2 linked regions of the Xenopus tropicalis genome follow. The protein of the gene in region 1 interacts with the protein of each later gene in a biochemical or structural test. Links are inferred from orthologs where the notes say so. Each region holds a gene or a part of one and is shown on either strand. Other genes may lie near its edges.

What was found.
Region 2: the proteins of cav1 (region 1) and ptgs2 form a complex in vitro, tested with the Homo sapiens proteins (2 studies listed by BioGRID). The link is inferred for Xenopus tropicalis from reciprocal best matches to the Homo sapiens genes CAV1 and PTGS2.

Annotation. Positions count from the first base shown.
Region 1 is NC_030679.2:68,063,781-68,069,225, reverse strand, and holds the start of cav1 (caveolin-1), read right to left. Parts: upstream 3,482-5,445; 5' UTR 3,449-3,481; coding exon 3,419-3,448; intron 1-3,418. UniProt on the Homo sapiens protein: May act as a scaffolding protein within caveolar membranes. Forms a stable heterooligomeric complex with CAV2 that targets to lipid rafts and drives caveolae formation. Mediates the recruitment of CAVIN proteins (CAVIN1/2/3/4) to the caveolae.
Region 2 is NC_030680.2:119,580,167-119,585,566, reverse strand, and holds the start of ptgs2 (prostaglandin G/H synthase 2 precursor), read right to left. Parts: upstream 3,543-5,400; 5' UTR 3,399-3,542; coding exon 3,344-3,398; intron 2,631-3,343; coding exon 2,514-2,630; intron 2,429-2,513; coding exon 2,285-2,428; intron 1,977-2,284; coding exon 1,833-1,976; intron 1,134-1,832; coding exon 952-1,133; intron 854-951; coding exon 770-853; intron 493-769; coding exon 246-492; intron 1-245. UniProt on the Homo sapiens protein: Dual cyclooxygenase and peroxidase in the biosynthesis pathway of prostanoids, a class of C20 oxylipins mainly derived from arachidonate ((5Z,8Z,11Z,14Z)-eicosatetraenoate, AA, C20:4(n-6)), with a particular role in the inflammatory response.

The sequences.
Region 1 (5,445 bases):
AAGGTTCTGTTTTATTATTACAGAGAAAAAGGAAATCATTCTCAAAAATGTGAACTCTTTGTTTAAAATGGAGTTTATGGGAGATGGCCTTTCCGTAATTCTGAACTTTCTGGATAATGGGTTTCCGTATAAGAGGTCCGATACCTGTACTATGTATTATTCCATTGCAAATGATATTCAGATCCCATAAGGTTAATGGCACACTGCCTTCCTGCACTCTGTAGCACTATGGGAAGATGCTAAATCCTTAAAATGCTCTTCCCATTCACTTTAAATAGGGCTTGAGCATAGTGGGAAACAAAATGCTCAGAATCACAATGTTTGCCATTATTCACATATTGGACATTACATCCCCCCAGTGAAATAGATTGCTAAGTTTTTTTCCCTAGGCTGGTGCTCCTTTTAGGAAAGAACCTGTGGAAAAAATTGAGTGCCACACTGTCATCTCCTTCCTTGGCACTTGGCATTCTGCACATACGCAGTAGAGTAAAATCTCGGGTATGCACTATTGCGCTTGCATGAACAGGAATTAACACTGGGGATGCCTGGGGCCGCAGTAGAAAGTGGAGTAAAATGTTGATGCATCGCTCCAGTTTTTTCCGCAGGTTCCTAGCAGGAGCACTTAGTGATCTATTTTATATTAGCGACCTAACATTTTGGGTTGAATATTTCCTGACCCACACATCACTAGTCCACTGTAGACCTCACTCCTAATTTTAGTCAATAACAGGCATGCAGTCAGGACCCTTTCCTTTAAGTACCATTAAGAATGGTGACAAGCAGACAAGGCATTCTATACCCCTGCTTCTTTCTGATGGATGGTAGCCATGGACTAGTGATGTGAGTTTGGGCAGGCCAATCACTTTTTTTGCTTGTGGCAGGTGAATGGAGGGCCAAACTATTCCCACGCCCCCCTCCCCCCATGACATCATTATCTCTTTTGCCCACCTGCTGTTGCTCTTATATATGCTCTCCCCCCTCCCTGCTGACTTCAGTTATATCAGAGAGGGGCAGGCACGTGTATATAAAAAATTACAGCTGGCCGGATTGGGGCAGGTTCAGGTTTGAAGAGGGCAGGGTTAAGTCAGATGTGGTGGACACTTTTTCTGTAACGTCTGATGTGCTATTACAATTAGGGCTGTAGGGCCCATATCTAAATAACATAATATGATGAATAAAATGGTTTGGTATAGGCATGAGCAGATGAAATACTGTCAAACTGGAGAGACCATCTTCAACCAACAGGATTGCAAACTGGCCAGTTCAGATCCCCCCCCCACCTGACATATTTAGATGTTTAGGTAGTGTGGTCAAAATCGTCCAAACTCCCTGACCAGATCTGGTTATGTATAGCCAGCTTTACACACCTTTGGGATGAAACCATTTTGTCTACAAAACAGGATTAGCGATGCCAAGAAATATTTTACAAAAGTTGGACATCCTCAGGTTATACTTCTCTGTCACATCATTTATCTGGTTGCCAACTGGGAACCTCCCGTTTTCCTCTGCCACAAGCCAAGCACTGAACAATACAATTTTTGTCTTTTATATACAGTGTGTCCTACTTCTCCCTTGTTTTCTTCCAAAACACATTTTTCCTATAATTTATTCAGGTTAATAAAATTGATTCAGAAGAAGCAAAAGAAGTGCATAAAATGATAAGAAACAAAGTCATAATTATGTACAGTCAGCAGATGTGATAATTCTGCAGTGGGCAATGTAGGCCCTCCACAGACATATACTGACGGTGCTTGATCTTTGCACTTTGCAATTATTTTTTTTTTTAATTTTAAATTCTGTCTTTTACTATTTAGGCCTTTGTCTATTGATCTTTCATAGTGACGTTAAAAAACACTGATTGGACCTAGTAACCTAGATTATAGTTTAAATGGCAGATCATAAAAAGCACATTAAATGGAACTTTAGTTTAAAAATCAATTCATATAGTTAATTTTAAAGGTTCAGTAGCGATTTAATTCACTGAGGGATGCCTAACATTTTGACTCCTGCTCTTTTCAGAAATCCATTAAGCCATCTCCATGTCTACATAGCATTGCTAAAACCATCTCCTGACATGCCCCTAATAACCAGATCCTTAATTCCTGTTTAGGCTCTTAACACTGCCATGCAATATCCTCCTTCAAAATAGATGCCTTTATGCTTCCTTCATCCCCCAGTAACCTCTTTCTACATCTTTTGTGCTTTCTTGTCTATTGCTAGAATCAGACTCTTCTCTTCCATTCAGTGGCATCCTGAAGGCCCATTTTTCTTAAAGAGATACTGCAACCAGAAATGAAACCCTTTTTGCAACAACATTGTCTTTTTGTTGTCTTTGGCTTTTTTTCATTACACATCCAATCCTCATGTTCCTATATGAGGGGGCTGCCACATTTGTGCAGCAGGAGTCCATTAGCATTAGAAGCTATAACTGACAGGTTGAGAAGGTACAGTCAGGTTAAAAAAACAGGTTTAGGAACTTCAAGTAACAATTACTTACAAAAGCAGCCCTATCAGTGAAAAACGATCAACGTGACCTATAGGTAACTTTTTCTCGTTGCGATTATTGTACATCACATCTGTCCCTCCATCCATAGTGTTATTAGACTGTACATGTGAATAAAGTGTTACTTTAGCTGTGGTCCATGATTCTGGCTGCCTTCTTTCCATATGTGTACAGTGGAAATCCAGCTAAAACCACTAACCAGAGGCATTTTGACACACCACTATACATACCTCACCTACATCCTAAAATGGTACTGTATACACATAGTATGTATTCATATGTAAACTGATATGTTTCAATAAAGTGCGAGTCTGTGATTATTTTACTGTGTAACTGTTTGTGAACAGCAGTAGTTCTTTAGCACAGGGTATGTAATCTCCAAGCACTGTAGTATGGCAAGGTCCTAAAAAAAAGGCTTTGGCATATGTTTTCCAGCTGCTGCTGAACTACATCTCCTAGCATGAGCCCACTGTCTGTAGCTGTCAGTAATAACTGGGAAGCCGCAGGTTGTGAATCTTTGTGTAAAGCCTTGTTTTAAGCAGGTTATCAGTGCATTCAAGTACCAAGCACAACTCTATATACAGAGCCAAGTAACATTCCATCTCTTACTCCCCCAACACATTTATTATCCATCAAGTTATTTTTTAGGAGGTAACTTTTTCCTTGGCATGCAGACTGGTAGGGAGGGTAGGGAGGGAGTCCAAAATGGGCTGTACCATTTTTTCAGGGGGTTCTGAGCCTGAAATCTGTAGCTATCACCAGTTGCTATGTAAGTAAGTGGAAGTTACATGTAATGCAATATGCGACCACAAAATATAGGTATACACCTAAAGTGCAGTCACTGCATACTGTCCCAGGATTAACTACAGTGCATAAGCTAAGCAACTCCCAGTTATAAGCAATGGCCAGTCCTACCTCTTCATCTATGTATTTGCCACCAGACATGCTGTTCTTCAGTTGCTGGCTGCTCTGTTTGAGATTTCAGGGAGTTATGATTTAAAAGATTCCAGGGAGGAAGATAGTGCATTGTGTAAAGGCACAGCTAGGAAGGAGGGGAAGGAGGTGGCTGTGAGCAGGATTGTTGCTGGCCAGGCTCCAATGTTTGTTCTGCATGGTTTGGGCTTGGATGACAGCCCTGTTGAACTGAGACACATCCCCAGGGCTCATGGAACACCAGCCTTAAATTGGGTGCTGGAAGCCACAGACTTCTGAGTCCACCCTGTGCAATGCAAGAGGTACAAGGCATTGAAATCCAGGCATACACTGCTGCACACTGTTAACTTTCCTAAAACCCCAACAGCTTTCAGTGTGTGCTTTCCATTCTGCCTTTCACACCTAGTTCTGACAAAGTTATGAAACAATAGGAGGAAGCCAATTATTAATAATATTTCCAAGCAACACACATGATTTATATACACTGGCAGCAATATTTTAGAAGTCTTTAAAAAATATTGTTGTCTAAACCATAAATATTCTCTCTTTTTATACCTCCTTTATTTACAGCATTGATGTGGAAATATATATTTTAAAATATCACCCTAAATAAACATCGCCTTCTACACAATGCTAGATTCAACCTTGGTGTTGTAATAGGGGAAGCAGAGGATGAAAGCAATTCTAGAATTTATAGTTTCATATCACACATTGTAAGGAAAGTAATAGAATCACAAAATATGAAACACCTAAAAGCCAGTAATTTGCAGGATCCAAGGCAGCATGGATTTGCCACTGGAAGATCATGTGAGACTAAGCTGGACTATGACAGAGTGTATACATAAGAACACAAAATGCTTAAGCCTTTTTCGTGATGAGATTTTTTTTAAATGAAGCTACACTTTTACCCGACGTTGTTGGCAAGACATCCAGTTTCTGCCTGCCTTCTGTGACTTAAGTACCTGGACCCAATATATTAAGTGGCGAGTTTACTCCACTGTTATAACTGGTATAATTTTTCATTCATTGAGTTGGACTGGGTAACCAAAATGGTAGACTAGGGTGAATTTTCAGCAAGTGTTTTGATACTGTCCACCACAATATGTTGATTCAGGAATTTCAGTGTTTAGGGTTTACAGGTTGTGACAGGAGCCAGAACATTATTGTTAACGGGGTAAATCAAAGGATAGGAAAGTGTTGTTACATTAATTTAATATTATTATAAATTATATTAAATATGACATATAAAGTAAGGTGTGTTTCTTTGCAGATGACATGCAATAGCAAAGCAAAACATGCAAAGCAAATATAAGCACTTAGACATTCAGAATAAATCAACAGATACTTTTCTACTGTTGGAATGCAATTCTAAATCCAAAAAAGTGCATTTTTATGTATAATCTTACATGTAAACAAAAGATGAATGTATAATACAGCCCTTTTGTTGTTGAGCTGTATTTTAAGTTGGGAATAGAAATAGACAGGTTACAACAGGAATGCTAAAGATTACATAGACCTAAGGCAATTTCCTATTACCTTCTCTCACAAAATGTTCATGTGTCCAATTATTTACTCATATTAATATTAGTTGTTTTTATCACTACTTTTTCATTTTGTTGATTTAAACAACTGAGCAACAACATTCACCTACAACATATCTATCGTGAGTTGAATGAGAAACTGAAATTAATAGGGTTGGGTCTAAATAGAAAGGTAAGTTAAAAAGTAACAATAACAATTAAATTGTAGCCTCAAAGAGCAATTGTTTTTTGGCTGTCGGGGACAGTGACCCCTTTTTGAAAGCTTGAGTTAGAAGAGGAATGGAAAATAAATCCTTGTAAATAAAAAAATACTATAAGTCAAATACACATAGTAATACAGGTATCAGACCCCTTATCCAATAGACTCCATTGTAATGAAATAATTCACATTTTTAAAAATGAATAATTTTTCTCTGTAATAATACAACTGTACCTTGTACTTGATCCCAACTAAGGTATAATTAACCC
Region 2 (5,400 bases), on another chromosome or scaffold:
TTCTGTTATTCCAATTTACAGTCAGAGCAAACTTTGTTAATCCCTAAAGCTTTACTTTGACATTTGCTATCAAATTTGCATCATAATTACACTAAGCCAATAAACTTATTAGTAGATACAAAGATCATGACTGTATAACAGCATAGCTGGCTACCAAATCAGCTGTGCCTGCCACAAGGGTATTAACGTTAAAATCTTCATCCATAGAAATGATGTGTTATAATATCTCTTCTATTTACACTTACCAATCAAAATAAGTCTTGCAGTTTGGAAAATGCGCTCATCGTCCCATTCTGGATGCTCGTTGGAAAGTATGTCGCAAACCCGATTGTGCTCCCTTAACCAGATGGTGGAGTACATCATCAGCCCTGGAACAAGGCCAAAAACCTCTTGCCCAACGGCAAACTGAAGGTGATCTGGAATGTGAGGTGGGTACACCATATCCACTCCTGTGGTTTTCACTGTTGGTGGGTACATTTCCCCACTTATCATCTGAAAGCAATGGTAAAAGATATTCAATTACATGTCTACCGTGTGTGCATGGCCCATTTCTACTGCCTCATTAACTGAAATGTCTTCTGGTGGGTAAAGTAATAGCAGGTGCAAAGTTTGCCCCTATTCTTTAAAATCACAACAACCAGACAGCACTGATTGGAAGCAAACATTTGGTTGCTACTAGACCTGGTGCAAAGTTTGTGCTTGTTATCATATCACCACCTTAAATTAAAAAGGTACAGTAAAGGGCTGCCAAATAATATAAGACATTTACCTGATATTTCAGTTTGCCACCTTTCATTAAACGCAGTTTATGTTGCCTTTCTAAGCTTTCACCATAGATATGATTGAGATCAACCTGTAAGAAGAGATGACAGGCCCAGTTAGTTTTACTAGTCTATAGAAGGACATAAACAAAATAAAAGAAAGGAAAGGAAAAAGCAATCTATCCCTTACCCCATGGCCCAATGCTTTGGTGAAGGCAGCCCCTTTGGCCATATCTGTTCTGAAGAACTGGTGTGTGAAGTGTTGAGCAAAAAAAGCAAACATAACATTGGAGCCTTGAGGGTCAGGAATAAATTTTCTTCGCATCAGGAATTTCTCCACTACCAACTTTGCACTTGGAAGCTCTTTCATTCCTGCACAAAAAAACCCAAAGGAATTGTCAAGTCATGTTAAAAATGAAATCAGATCTGTATTTGTTTGCCCAAAACCATAATCCTCTTATAAACAATTTCACGGCAATAAAATCCATTCCGTCTTGCATGACATTAGATAAAGAATTTAGACTCAAAACATTGATGTCCATGCTATGATTTATTGCCATGGACTTAAAAATTAAAATTCACAAGGATTTACTTGCAATATAATCTTAAAGAATAAGCATAAGAATAAGAATAAGAATTATACGAATAAGTGTGTTTCTACAGAGTATGGACTGCAATGAAGCACTGGCCATAATCTTTACTCTGAGCCATTTCATTTTATATGCTGTATTTAATTAACAACCCAGTATCCATGGTCCAAACATTCTAGGTGACTGAACAGGAATTTCTAGTGTGATACTACTCTGCCACCCACTAGGTTAAGTTCCCAGGCATGCTATAAAAGGTTTATTAACTGTTAACTGTATTTAACCCAGATGAATCATAGTGATATTTACAGCTGCACAATATAGGATCATAATTAGGGTTTATATTACTGTGTATTCTGCTTGTCTTTCAATAAGATGTAACCTTTTTTCCAGCATATAATGCTATTAGTATTTAAACCTCTGATTTAGTTATATATATATATATATATATATATATATATATGCACACCGGTATTTAACTCACCTTTAACTCCCATTGGGGTAGGGCAGTCACGTTCCACAGGAGGCAAGGTACGAGTATAATAGGACAGATTGGAGAATGCCTCCCAGCTTTTATATCCATAGTGGCTGTTATACGTGGGTGGGCTGTCAATCAGGTGCGATCGGGCTGGAAATACAAAGAACAAACCTTTACTGGAAGTAAAGCACATCTGACTTTTATAGTACATACTGTAGGTATGCATGTTCCTCTCTTGCAGGCGGATTTAGCTTTTAGTTTATATATTTTACTATGGAAAAGATCTAGTGCTCAAAGTATAGAACAAAAAAAGATTACTGGAAACAGCATATATTCTATGTAAAACTAGCCAAATAAATCTCAAGTCTCCCCAAGACTAATCAAGCCAATCAGAAGAAAATACTTTGAAACTCTTACAATTTCAGTTTCCCTACAGAGTGCAGTAGGTTGGTACTTACATGTCAGGACATATCGCATAATGGCATCCCTCAGGAAGGAAATATTGTTCACTATATTCCATAGTCCTTTGAAGTGTGTCAGGATATAGTGCACTGTGTTGGGGGCTGGCTTCAGCTTCAGCCTCAACCACGATAGGAATTCCGCTGTAAGGAACACAGATATGTAAGCATCATTTTTATATAAAGCTGAATAAATCCTATCAGAGGCAGGTCATAACTAAATACTTACGTTTAGTGCAGTTTTCTCCATAGAAGCCTGTTCTTGTGCAGTCACATTCATAGCGGTCGTGGCCAACAGTCATGCATACCCCCCGGTTTTGGCAGGGATTTGAACAGCATGGGTTTGCTGGGGAAATAAACAGCATGTTAATATAAATTTGTAGTAATAACAGAAACTTTTTTGTAGCATATTAAATCATTCAATTACAGTACAAAGAGTAGTTACATTCAGTTGATGCATTTCCCTCTTTCATTTTTTTTTTTTGTAGTATATTTGCTCAATATTACACTGCTTTATTTAAGCTTATCAGAAAATAACCCTTAAAAAATAACCAAGGATGCATTTTATAAGTCACAATATTCTGATTGTAAAGATAATATAGAACAGAAATCAGAACAGTCTAGTTGTAATCTACATGCATTAGAAATAGAAAATGTATTAATATATACACCTGGCTCCCTTGCTACTCTAAGGCAATAAATAGAAATCTGAGTATTTTGTGATCCAGAAAGGTGCTGCCAAACTATTCTCTTGTTTCTTAGCCATGTACAAAAGGGATAACCATACACTATGACAATTATTCAGATAATATTATTGGTAAATAATATTTTGGTCACCCCCTTTAGTCCCTAGTAGGTCCAGTTCCTAGTAGATGAAATGTCATCAGAGCCTAAGGAGGTAAATGCAGTATAAGGAGGTCAGTGTAGCCTGTAGCTACAGGATAGATCCCAATCAGATCTTGCTTTAAACCTCAGCTACTGAGTGTGAATCCGCGGAATGCAGAACAGAGATTCCCATAATGAAAGCGCTATGGGAGAATCCATAGAAGAGAGAGTTACCTGCTTGAGAGAAAACCAGCAGAGAGAGGAACACAGCGGCGGGTAGTACGATCATTCCAATGGAGAGCGAGTAGCGCAGGCGGGCTGTGCGGTATGTACCTTCTCTATCCCACTACTACTGCGGCTATACTACTACTTCTACTACTTTTTTTTACTACTACTTCTGCTACTGCTGCTGATAACCCGTTGCTGGGATCGCTTTAGCTCTTGTGTCTGAACTGGGAGCAACTTTGCGCCTCATTTATACAGAACAAGAAGGCGGTGACGTTACGAGCACACCCAATTTACGTTGAGCCTGACCCAGCCCCGACTGTCCCGGCGTCCAAATTTAGTTGCAAATTTGTGGTAATGAATTACCTAACAGAGTCGGTTTTATTTCATCATGGGGGGAAGGGGCCGGTTAAGGTCCGGTTTTAGTAGACAAAAGGCACATAACAAAGGGATTTTACTGTGTTGATAAATGAATTGAACCCAGACAATTAGTCAGTGGAGCGACTTGGCACCTGAGAGACTGGCGCACACAAAGCGCAATCTGTCTCCCCTGCACCTTGTACTTACCCTTTATTTGTTTAAGAAAATGATTTTACAGAGCTACAAAGAGCAGCTGTTGCAGGCAACCAGGTATAATCTGCAGGATAGTGTGCCCCTATGTTCCTGTAACAAGGTCTTCCAAACATATATTGGATATATTCCCTTTAAATTGTTGGGATCTGTTGCTGGTGGTAAGGGGGAGAGGGTTAAACAATATATGTATAGTATATATTATTATTGCCTATCAATGTGATATAGCTTTCTATTAGAAAACAATGGCAGAAAATGTATAAATACTGTCACTATAAAGCATAAAAATATTTAAAATATTGTTATAACAAATGGGTCAGGTTATTTCATTTTTTCTTTTCCATTATGTGGTTGTTAACTAGTATGCAATTATTTTTACTTATATAGCTGCACTTATGCACACAGTGCTGTACAGCAGGGCAGTAAATTAATAGAAGAAAGGAGTCATTACCATAATAATACCATTGAATATTTACATTTAAAATTAAGCGCTAAGGGCTCTGGTACCTGTTCGCGGGCGACTAATCTCCCCCGTGTGCCAGAGCCCTATGGGTGAAGACACACAGAGCTACTAGTAGCAGCTACTAAAATAGACAATGCTGATCATTTGCTGATAACTGTCTCTACGTGTGTTTTAGAAGAGGCAATTCTCAGTATTGTCTATGGCAGGGGATTTTCTGGTGTAGCTCTGTGTCTCTTCGCCCTAAATAAGTGTCATTATGTAGATATTGATTTATTTACTTTATTTGTATACTTTATGAAGACAATGAATCTTTTGCTTGTCAAAGAATTTGCCTGCCCCCTGCCAATTTCTGCACTGTGTTTTTTTTTTATTTTGCTGCATAACTGTTTCTGGAGTTCAGCATTTGACCAGTGTCCCTTTAGCTGAATGACTAGTTTACAGACATTTGAAACCAGTGATGTAGTGATGAGCCCCAAGAATATTTAGGACAGCAAGTAAGTGCTCCCCCCAATCTCATTCTAACTGACCTTCAATCTGAAACTCCAGGAATATATACAAGAATAAATAGGCAGTATCCCCAAATCTTACCCTCAAGCAGGGTCCCCCAGAAAAATCTGTTTCTAAAGGATAAAAAAAATCAGGTGCTTCAGATCAGCTTAGTTTCTGGGTGGATCAGTACAGTTATGTTATAGCTATTCTATATTTTTTTTATTTCAGATTTATTGATGAAAGACTAAAAAATGTTTTTCACGATCAAATCTCACACTGGGCTGTCTATTGGGGCTTCCAAGAAGGGAGCCATACCCTGGGACACATAGCTGTTGGTAGCAAGACTGTGAAAGCCAATAATGTACCGTAAATGTACCCTGTTAGTGTAAAACAGCTGTAGAAGTAGAAATATTAATCTCTGGCAAGGGAGTTATGGCTGTAGGACAGTAGGTATATAGTTGGCAAGATGGTGACACTAAAACAAGGTGGCAATAGTAAAATCTTTCCAATCCATGGCAAACATATAGCATGTGTCAGTAACGAG